3 linked regions of the Sus scrofa genome follow. The main gene of each other region encodes a partner of the protein of the gene in region 2 in a complex. Links are inferred from orthologs where the notes say so. Each region holds a gene or a part of one and is shown on either strand. Other genes may lie near its edges.

Region 1 (3,500 bases), about 5.1 Mb from region 2:
AATTCCTTTTTTTTTTTTTTTGACTGTACCCACAGCATATAGAAGTTCCCAGGCCAGAGATGGAATCTGAGCTGAAGCTGCAACCTCCACCACAGTTGCAGCCATACTGGATCCTTAACCCACCACCCCACAGCAGGAACTCCCTTGATGAATTCCTTTTAATAAAACTGGGTCCAGTGACTGTCGTTCACTGATTGGGGAGGGGAGGGACCGGGGCGGGGGGGTGGGGTGGCATGGCTGTGAGCTTGCCATCCCAGGGCCTTAGGTCACCTGCAGCCAATGGGGAAACTAGGAAAAATGCTCCCGTTTCTTGACTTGGTTTAGACTAATTCTGCCTGAGCACCGAAGACGTTTCATTCAAAGTGCATCAAAGGCTTGTGAGATGACTCAGCATCTACTCAAATGTACCTCAGAGGTGAATGACTTGCATCCGTGTATCCTTCTGTAGGAGCGGAGCCTTCAAAGACTGTGTAACAATGTTTGCGAACAAATGCTTTCTCTGCAATGTCTTTCTAGTTTCCCTACAAATGGGAGAGGTCACTGGGGGTTTCGCCCGTGGCCCCTGGGAGCTATTTTCTGTGTTCCCTGCTTCCCATAGGGCGACGTTCTGGGGGCCGTGGTGTCTCGGACCCCCGTCAGGAGTGACCAGGCAGTGGGTGATTCCCACCAGCTGCAAAACTCAGGGGACCCCTGTGACCCAAGGTGGAAAGGATGGACGCTAGTGACCCGGACACACACAATCCTCCCAGGAGGCCTGGTCGCCCCTTAGGCAAGAGGGTCCGTCTGAAAATGAGTACAAAAAATGTCACCGACCTCAGAGGCAAAACACCTTCAGAATTTATTCTGCACGTTTTGTTTTGTCTTGTTTTGTTTTTCTTTTTAGGGCTGCACCCACGGCATATGGAGGTTCCCAGGCTAGGGGTCGAATTGGAGCTGTAGCCGCCGGCCTACACCACAGTCACAGCAACGCAGGATCTGAGCCACGTCTGCGACCTGCGCCACAGCTCATGGAAACGCTGGATCCTTAACCCACTGAGCGGGGCCAGGGATGGAATCTGCAGCCTCATGGATACTAGTCGGGCTCTTTATTCACTGAGCCACAACGGAACTTCCTACTCTGCACATTTTTGAGAAGTGTAAAAAGAACATAAGCCCAGGTGACAGCAGGGAAAGAAGAGCCAGGTCCCCAAATATTCGGGGGTGAGATCCTCCCAGAAAAGCTTCTAATGTCCATGACATTTCCCCCTGGACCTGACTAAAGACAAATCTCTCTTTTCCTGTCTGTTTTCCTTAATGACGGAGATGAAAAATCCTGATTTTAAAAACCTCCAAGACAATTAAAAATATAATAAATATGATAAAATATCTCTCCACACGTTGGGCAGAAAGAGATTACCCTCCATGCTCAGCTTTCTGGTGGTTTGAAAGTGTACAGGCAGGGAACGCAGGGTCAAGCCTGTATTTCAGACTCAGACACGCAGATGAGAGAGCAGGAAGCAGGAGAGATGAAGGCAGATGCCTCGCCCTTCTTTTGAGGTTGTGTGTGGTCTGTCTGCTCTGAGAACCTGGCCAAGCTGCTGACTCCTCCAGGAAAAAAGTTACACGCATGTGAGTGAACACAGATGCAACACTTCCATAAAATTCCACAGGTTTCTCAGAAACCCTCAAAGCACGGACACCTCATTGACCCCAAAGTCAAGAGCTGACAGCCTTATCTTGATGGCCATTTAGTGAGAATTTGAAGTGGAAGGCAAATAAACACATAACCTGTGACTGATGAACTTTGGCTCAGACTCAAAGGAAGAGGGTGTTAATATCTCCCTTCCCTCTCCACTTCCTTCCTTCTTTCTTTTTCTCTCTCTCTTGCTCGCTCTGTCTTTCCAGCAGAGACGAACTACATGAACAACAAGCTCAGTATCAAATCAGTGGAATAAGAAAATAATTGGTAAATCACTTTACATTCCACAAATCACCTCCTTACGTGCCATGGCCGTTGCCTACAGCTGACCCGTCTCATACCTCTCCTCTCCCGGGAATCCTCACGGCAGGCGTGGGGTGGGGGTGGCGGGGGTGCTGTGGCTGATTTACTGCTGAGAAGACGGTGGCTTAGAGAGAACGCAGAGTGGCATCAGGATGAAAGCCCGTGTCTCTTAACCTTCATCCAGACGTTCTTCCCACAAGGCTGGGCAGCGTCAGAAATACTCATCCGGCGTGTAGGCAGGTTCCAAGGGGAGACCGTTTGCTGGACTCTCTCTTGATGGAGCGTCGCTTGGAAGAGCGTGGCTAATGGACTGGCATGGATTAGATAGACCTAATACGTGATCCAGAAGGACCCGGATAAGTCCTCGTGTGGGTCATACCAACACGTCACTCTGCTTAGAAGAGTTTCACACAGTCTGTTACAAGAACAGGTTTTCAGGTTTCTTCGTATTTATGGTCGCGTCTTATCCTTAAAACCTGCCAACATGCCACTCAAGCCATCTCGCGTCAAGGACACCCGGAGTACTTTGTGAGGGAGAGAATATACAGCGACAGCTTGGATTACCCCGTCAGTACAGCAAAGTGGATGGTCCCCACTTGTCTATCCACCATCTACTTAAAAAAACAACCTACGTTTATCCTCTACATCCTAGTCTGTGCCTACATTGCGCAAGGCTCATGAATATCCAGACATCGAATGTTGCTGTGGGTGTTTTGCTCAGCCTGGGTCATTTGTTGAAAGAAATAAACATTATTAATGGGAAATATAAGATAAGATTGTACCTGGCCCTTGTTGTGTGACTCTAACACACACACACACACACACACATAACTTAGGTGGACATTTCTTCATATTCTTAATACTTGTTTAAGCTAAAGAAACATAACACTTCTCAAAGAATAGGCTTGGGACAAAAACCTGATACCGATTTGAAGAAGAGATGATTTTCCAGCCTTATCCTATCATCTGTTCTTAGATTAATACAAAGATAAGGCAGGTGGAACCCAATCAGCTCTAAGTCAACTTAAGCAAAGGCATTGTTTTGCCCGCGGAACGAGCCTTTGGCAAAGTTAACGATTGCGGTCACAGTTAGATGACACATAATGCAGCATTTCCGAATCCGTTTTGGGGTCCTCTCAGGGCTTCCGTGGAGGAAAGCATGGAATAGCACCAGCCACATCTTCAGGGTTACAGCTGTGGAAGGGGAGCAAGTCCACCACGAGGGGCTGGGTGCCAGCACCCGCCCTGCACTCTACCTGTACAGATGAAACTGGAGAGTCCCCCGTAGATGACTTCGTCATTGTCGGGCAATATGAACGGACATCTCGTCTGAACCTCCAAACAGTATTGCTTGCAAGGAATTGTCTTTCTGCAGTTAAGCTGTGCGACTTCAAAGTACTGGGAACACAGCCAGGCTTTGTAGACAATCTGAAAAAGAGAAGAATCAAAAATAGGGCGGGATGACAACAGTTCTGACTAATAAGGGACGTGCTGTACCGTGGGGAGCATGCTGTGGTTT
Region 2 (3,500 bases):
GACTCACTGAGAACTGGTGAGCGTAATGGATATTGTAAGATATCAGACACGGCAGTAATGTGATCTGAAATGTCTGTGATTTCTACAGGTGACAAGATGTGGGTATTGTTAATACTGCTGTGCTTTATTGCCGACATTCATCACTGCAGAAAATGCTGTATTTTAGCAAATGATTCATGAAAATAAAGATGTAACTGTTTCCTTTTCCAAGACCATGGACCCCTGCATTTTATCCAAGAACTCCCATCTAAGAAGCTGTTAGGGGTTGAACTGTTTTCCTCAGTCCTAACCCCCAGGACCCCCCACCCCCAAAGTGATCTTAGTTGGAAAGAGGTCATTGCAGGTGTAATTAGTTAAAATGAGGTGATGCTGGAGTCGGGTGGACCCTTCATCCAACATGACCGGTGTCCTTATAAAAGACACAGACGCAGACACGCAGGAGCACACACTCACACACACACACACAGAGGCACACACACACACACACACAGAATGCCTTGCAAAAATGAAGGCAGACATCAAAATGATGCTTCCACAAGCCAAGAAACACCAATGATTGCCAGAAACGAGGAGCTGCGAAAAGGCCTGGACCTGATCTCCCCCAACAGCCGCAGAAGGAACCAAGCCTGCCGACACCTCAAATTCATTCCCTGCTTACAGAACTGGAGACAGTTAACTTGCTGTTTAAACCACTCGGCATATGTCAGTTATTTTGCTGCAGTCCTAGCAAATAATGCGGATTCCTCTTGGAGACCAGGAAGGGCCAGGCCTCCATCTGCCCCTTTGTCCTGCCTGGGTCCTCATGAAATGTCTGGGAAAGGGGGTTTGTCAGCCCTTTGGAGACCACCACCCCTGAGCAGGCCAGGCCAATACTGGCCTGACCCAGGAGTGAGGAAGTGGGATGGGAGCTCTAGCAGGTGGCCCAACCCTCCCGGACCAGCTCCTACCTGCCTAATGAAACCCCTCCCCCCCAGCTTCTTTTTCCATGGGAGCCCCTCTGCAGTCAGGGGCGCATCTGGGGACGTGCCGCTGCTTCTCCCCTCCCGCATGAGGCACCCACAGGGACACGATCCTTGCAGGACAGTGAGAAAGGCCACTTGGCCCCTGAGAAGCGGGACTGCGCCTTACAACCTGGGCCGAGGAGGTGGCATTTCTGGGTGTGAACGCACTTGAAAGCTGCATCTATCGGGGCCTTGAAGGATGGCAGCTTCGGCTGGTTTCTGGACTCAGTTTGGCTGCCACCCAGAGCCGGGGGAGCTGCGCACCTCAGCACGTCGTGGAAGGTGACGTCGCCGCCGTTGTGCAGCCGCTCCATCTCGTAGCACATGTGCTTGAACAGGAGCTTGTCTTTGTCCAGGTCCACCTCCAGCCTCCCCCGCAGCAGCCGCAGCAGGAACTTCACGCGGAAGGTCGGGATCACACCCTGGTGACACAGCACCGTCGTTACCGAACCATCCTTTTGCTTGCGGTTCTGTTTTCACAGCAAAAACGCCCGCACGCAGCCTAGTTCCCAAAAGCTAGCCTGTCATCGGGGCAAGGAGGCGGCTGGGCTCCCGGAGGCTGGGTGCGTCTGCGCACCCAGGGAAGCTTTGAGATCTGAGCCCCTGGAGCTCCCCCCGGAGCCCCTTGGTTCTAGGGGGGCATCACCCCCCACAGCAGCCAAGGAGCCAAGGCCAGGGCTAAGGTCCCCTCGCCTCCAGGACAGGCTCCTGATCTCCCAGCCTCCTTCCTGTCGTCTGTTTCATTGATTCCGACCCTGGTCACGTGGTTCTCTGACACAGGTGCCCAGTGGGTCAGGGACGCATTTAGCAGAAGAAATGGGACCCATACTTAGAAAGACCACTCCTTTCCGGGTCTTCATAATTAGAACAAAAATGTCCAGGAGACCTGAGCTCCCAGCTCTGAGCCCTTCTGGTCACAGCAGATCCAAATTCTGGGGACCTAACGTGTCACCCCCTTCTGAGCAACAAAACCTAGCAGCCAGCCTGGCTCCGACTCTGAATGAGGCGCTGGGCCAGAGGCGGGGAGTTGGTCACCTGGATTCTGGTCAGTTACAAAGGTCTACACATGTGACGGGCTGCGCCTGCACGTGGCCAGGAGAGCAGGTCCCTGTGGATCTGGGTGACACAGACACCCGTAGAAGCAGGTCACTGTCTCAGAGGAAAACCCGGAGACCGATGCCTGGGTGAAGGGGAGGTGGCACAGAGAGAGCAGGGGGTGTGCAGAAAGCTGCAGACCCCCGCCCACGTCCAGGACCCTCTCCTCTGCCTCTGGCTCCTTGGTCTCTCTGTCCACAGTCGACTCTTCTGGAAACTATCTTCACATCTTCCCGCAGGTCTGCCCAAGCCTCAGCTTTGCTGTCTGTCAGCTAAGTCGCATATCACCTCCTCAGCCGGGCCTTCACGACCACCCTGCTAAGGCTCTGCCCCCCAAATCCAACCACTTGCTACTGTGTGTCCCCCATTTCATAGTGTTAACTTCTTGAAATTATAAAATCATTATTGTTTCACTTTTTGTTTGTCTCTCCGTATTAGGACATAGGCTCGGAGAGCACAGGGACCTTGCCATCTTGTCCACGGTCATACCCTCACCCCGGGAGCCCAGAATTGTGCCTGAGGGTTTGCTAGGATGGCGAAGGAGCGGGGAGGAAAGGGAAGAAGAAGAGGGGGAGGGGGTGGGGAGAGGAGGAGGAGGAGGAGGTAGAGGTGGGAGCTGCTGCTGTTTTAGCTAATTCTGGGAAGTCGGGGGTAAGATTTATGATGCAAATATTCGAAGAGTTAAGTCCAAAATAATTCAAAAGAATAACATTCAGAAACCACTTCAGGAACGCCTTTGCACCTCTAATGAGAATTGCTGTGCGAGGCTGAGGTGACTGTGAGTCAGTCTTGACACTGTCACTTTGGTAAGTGGAACGTCACCTCCTCTCCTGCCCTGAACCCAGGCTGGAATCTTCAGCGCTCCCTTGGTTCCCTCTCCTTGCCGACCTTCTGACCGTCTAAAGGAGAGGATGTCTGTGGTGGGAAAGAACACGTCGGGGGAGCTACTCTGGCCTCGCCTCTCCCGGCATGTTCTTCTCAATTGTCAGTGACGGCTTTCTGCAGCTCAGCAACGGCCGTTCCATTCAGCGCAAGTCAACCGTCAACAGCAAAACCATTGAACTGTTTGAGCCACGGCGGCAAGTCACTTTGGGTTGGGGCTTGACGCCACAAGCCGCTCTCTTACCTCTCTTTTATCATCCACCATGTTCCATATGATTTGAAAGTGGCGAAGGTCGTTGTAACTTAAGAGCTGGTCCTCCTCGGTGGAATAAAACAAAGAGAAATTCTCCACAATTATGGCTAAAAAGGGAAATGAAAAGAAAAATGGAGATGTTAGACACTCATGCTAATTTGTCATTTTTCAGAAGTAAAACATCTATTATAAATAATGGATTTTATCACTTACATTATAAGCCAGATTTTTAAAGTGCTTTTAGCATGGTTTCCAAGTTGGCATGTTTC
Region 3 (3,500 bases), on a different chromosome or scaffold from region 2:
GTTGACACAGCCACAGCCCATCAAGATTCAAGGTGAATGGAAGCATTTGGTTCCTCAGAAGGAACCAAACCCGAAGAGCCTCACCCGCAGCTGGACTTTATTTAGATGAGACGATCTTGGACCTCCAGCCAGGAATTTGCATGCAGGAAGAATGTAAATGATTTGTGACCAGAAAATAGGATGGAAATTGCAGGGCTTAAATTTTGGGACTTTATTATAGCTAATAACTACCTAAGAAATCCATGTCCACATTCTATTGTTTATGTAATAGTGGGAATAAAGACTAGTTATAACTGAAGGGAAGAAATAAACACTAGCAACGTACTCCAGTATACACCACACTGCTAGTGTTGCGATTTGGTTTAGTGGGTGAGCAGGAGACGCCCCAAACCAGTAAGGATTCATGTGCTTCCAGAATGAATTTAGTGTGTGAAAGAGAAAGAAAGGGTGCAAAGCAGGAAAAATACCTCACTTGGAGAAGTCAGGGCTGACTTGGATGCTGAAGGAGACTTGAGCTTTAGATGCGGAAGAAACACTGTATTTTAATAAATAATTTTAAAGAACTTATTAGTAAAGGTGAAAAAGATCATTAAAAATTTAAACTTGCTTTTATGATTTATTGCGCTGAGTCCTGTTCAGAAAATTAGATTTTCCAGCACTCATATCTAAAATTTTGTGCTAAAATCAAAGTGGAAAAAGCCTTATTTTGAAATGGGTGTTCTGATAGGCAATTCAAGACATTGTCAATGTTTGGATGTAGGTGTTGTGCTTGTCTTCTTCCTTCTTTTGTCTCCCCAAGATATCTGTTATGGAGCATTCTCAAATCCTCCCCAAGCCTGAGCTCATAATGGCTTAGGGTATTATTTTTTTCCTATGATATTCCATCTTTTTTTTTCCCTTTTTTTGGCTGTGGTTCTGGCACATGGAAGTTCCTGGGCCAGGGATCAAACCTTCTACAGTGTTAACTAGAGTCACAGCAGTGACAATGCCTAATCCTTAACCCCCTGTGTCACGAGGGAACTGCTGTTATATCCCATCTTAATAAGCTCTATGGAAAAACTGAAATACAATGGTGGCATCTGTAACAGATAGGTTTCTGCAAAGGTCAGGGATATTTCCTGGTTGCCCCTCAGATTGCTTTATGTGGGTGCTGCCTTGCTTCTCTGCTTCTTTCAAGGCAGCTCTGACAATGGCATCCCCCTGAACTTCAGCATCTTTCTTATACTGCATCACTTTTCTCACCTCCATCACTTCATCTGTTGACTCCTTTCCTAGAGTGGATGCCATTGGCTGAGCCTAGGAATGGTTCTTGCTATGTTTTGATGCTTCCTTGTATCAATTGACATAGTCTTTAGGTCTTGATAGAAAGAGTGCTTGCCGGTGGGGTTAGATAGGCCTGCTTTTGAACCATCAGCTCAGCTCAGCACAGCTCCCTACCTGCCCTTAAATGTTCAGGGACAGATGTACTGTGATGGAAATCTACTCTTTAGGTGGTGGATAAAATGATTTTGAAAGTTTGTTTTAGGGGCTGAAATTGTTCCTTTCCTATTCTGTGATGTGCTCTCTCTGGATCACAGTTTTAATTTTTTTCGTATTTCTGCTGCAAACTCGTAAAACACTAACTTGAAATAATTCAGAACGTCCACCATGCCCCATGACTGAGGTCACTTTATGGAGGACTTTTCAGTCATATTTAGGCTGTTCTACCACTCATACTAATAGAAACCTCTTCTCAGCTTTATTTTTAACTATGACTGAAATTTAACTGGTTAGAGATGACCTGCATTTTGGAAACTAGTGGCACTTTAGAAAAGTGCTGCCCCTTCCGGTGGCCCTTCTGTTTGTTCCAGTTATTAGCCAGATTTACCTCAGTGATTAATTTTGATTGATTTCACTCTTTTGCTCCTAGAACTGCAGTTCCCATGTTAGAAGAGCTGTTGTCACCTGCTTTTCAGCAGGGTGCTGTGGTCGTCACGGAAACAGGCCTGTTCGGTATTGCAAAAGATGCCACTCGAATCATCACAGTAATGAAGTGGGGGCTGCGTCGGAGACCCACCTCTATCAGACCTCCCCTCCACCCATCAACACTCGGGAATGTGGTGCTGAGGAGCTCGTCTGCGCCGTGGAGGCCGTAATTAGGTAACGGCTTCCTTGGAAGCTTACCCTGAGAACATTGCCTTTGCAATGAGACACCCGTTCCACATGAGGTGGGCAAATTTAACTCAGCTTCAAGCGCCCTCAGCCAACATCTCACCTTCCACAATGTTGCAATGATGATTTTTTTTTTTTTTCGGTCTTTTTAGGGCTTCATCAAGTGGCGTATGGAAGTTTCCCAGGCTAGGGGTTAAATCGGAGTTAACAGCTGTCGGCCCACCCAACAATGTGGGATCCAAGCTGCGACGTGCACCACAGCCTAGGGTAATGCCGGATCCTTAACCCACTGAGCGAGGCCAGAGATTGAACCCTAGTCCTCATGGTTACTAGAGGGGTTCATTACCACTGAGCCACACCAGGAGCTCCCAGTGATGATATTTTAATTCATTAATTCAACAAATACTTTTATTGAGTGCCAGTCACATGCCAGGCATATGTTAGGCACTTGGGAGAGAGAGGAGAGTAAAGTGTAGTTTCTGACTTCAGGTTACCCGAGTAACTTGACTTCCGTATTAGTGTAATAAATGTTTGCTAAATAAAACATTACAGAAAGTTTGGAAATAGGAAAAAAATCATCCATATTGCTGTCATCATCATCAATTTTGCACATGTCCTTCTAGTTTTATTCAATGTTTTATTTATACGACTGTAATCACAGTGTATCCGGGTTCATTCTGATGTAACATTATACCAGCAGCTCTTTTCCCTCTTGTTTGGTAGTTTCTGCATTTATCACTTTTAGTGACTACATAATGTTTATTTAAATTACTTTCCTCTACCACTAAATATTTTGACTTCATTTTTTTTTTTACTGTTATAAATAACTCTGATAATTGTTTTTGTGCATAGTGCTGTTCCTATATTTTAAATTTTTTTAGGGTATGTGATCAGATGTTGACTGGGTCAAAGGTATGAATATTTTAATGGTGCTTGATACATGGACAAACTGATTTTCAAAGCGTGTATATGAATTTCACACATCACTGTATGACGTTGCTAGTTTTTTCTATACCCTTGCCAACATTGAGTATTATTTTTAAAAAATTTCCATTCATTTAGCAAATTGCAAAAGGAATGGTTGTAGCTCACTGCCAGGTATTTGAACCCTAGATATTAAATATTTTACCATTTGAGTACCAGTTCCTCAATTTCTCTTCGTATCCTGTATTTGATGTCTGCATAGCTTCATATTAGATCTAGGAAAAGCACTGGCTTCTAGTGAGATGATTGATGAACTAGAAGCCAGAACCATCAGTCTGCTTGATTCTAATTGACTGGAGGAAGGCGCCTCCTTGCGCCTCAGTTTGGTCATCTATGAAGTGGGGATGGAGTAGAACATAGGAAAT

The links. The genes of interacting proteins can lie anywhere in the genome.
Region 1: the proteins of NALCN (region 2) and FAM155A are in contact, whole or in part, in a cryo-EM structure (PDB 7CM3), measured with the Homo sapiens proteins. The link is inferred for Sus scrofa from reciprocal best matches to the Homo sapiens genes NALCN and NALF1. Residues at the interface, in NP_001337678.1 of Homo sapiens: Cys207, Val209, Asn220, Leu222, Ala223, Ile224, Pro225, Thr227, Tyr237, Pro240, Phe243, Tyr406, Glu409, Phe909, Ala1044, Lys1045, Asn1047, Pro1049, Arg1054, Ile1060, Arg1062, Ile1063, Asn1064, Val1065, Ser1066, Lys1069, Lys1080, Lys1081, Gly1083, Phe1084; in NP_001073865.1 of Homo sapiens: Lys278, Glu281, Phe282, Val285, His287, Lys288, Tyr289, Leu290, Gln291, Glu294, Tyr295, Ser296, Val297, Lys298, Ser299, Tyr308, Trp311, Leu312, Gln315, Leu335, Gln338, Thr339, Cys341, Phe343, Ile344, Leu345, Pro346, Asp347, Asn348, Asp349.
Region 3: the proteins of NALCN (region 2) and UNC79 are in contact, whole or in part, in a cryo-EM structure (PDB 7SX3), measured with the Homo sapiens proteins. The link is inferred for Sus scrofa from reciprocal best matches to the Homo sapiens genes NALCN and UNC79. Residues at the interface, in NP_001337678.1 of Homo sapiens: Gln349, Met350, Phe351, His352, Glu353, Gly358, Trp359, Gln360, Leu361, Phe712, Ser713, Ile714, Arg717; in NP_001333147.1 of Homo sapiens: Cys861, Gln862, Ile865, Glu968, Pro969, Asp970, Phe1020, Gln1022, Pro2088, Asp2089, Ala2092, Pro2093, Leu2095, Leu2096, Met2099, Leu2139, Pro2141, Asn2142, Gly2143, Ile2144, Gln2147, Leu2148, Ser2151.

The regions. Positions count from the first base shown.
Region 1 is NC_010453.5:74,774,700-74,778,199, forward strand, and holds part of FAM155A (transmembrane protein FAM155A), read right to left. Parts: intron 3,410-3,500; coding exon 3,238-3,409; intron 1-3,237. UniProt on the Homo sapiens protein: Auxillary component of the NALCN sodium channel complex, a channel that regulates the resting membrane potential and controls neuronal excitability.
Region 2 is NC_010453.5:69,719,021-69,722,520, forward strand, and holds part of NALCN (sodium leak channel non-selective protein), read right to left. Parts: intron 3,339-3,500; coding exon 3,223-3,338; intron 1,424-3,222; coding exon 1,266-1,423; intron 1-1,265. UniProt on the Homo sapiens protein: Voltage-gated ion channel responsible for the resting Na(+) permeability that controls neuronal excitability. NALCN channel functions as a multi-protein complex, which consists at least of NALCN, NALF1, UNC79 and UNC80.
Region 3 is NC_010449.5:114,881,761-114,885,260, forward strand, and holds part of UNC79 (protein unc-79 homolog), read left to right. Parts: intron 1-1,909; coding exon 1,910-2,139; intron 2,140-3,500. UniProt on the Homo sapiens protein: Auxiliary subunit of the NALCN sodium channel complex, a voltage-gated ion channel responsible for the resting Na(+) permeability that controls neuronal excitability.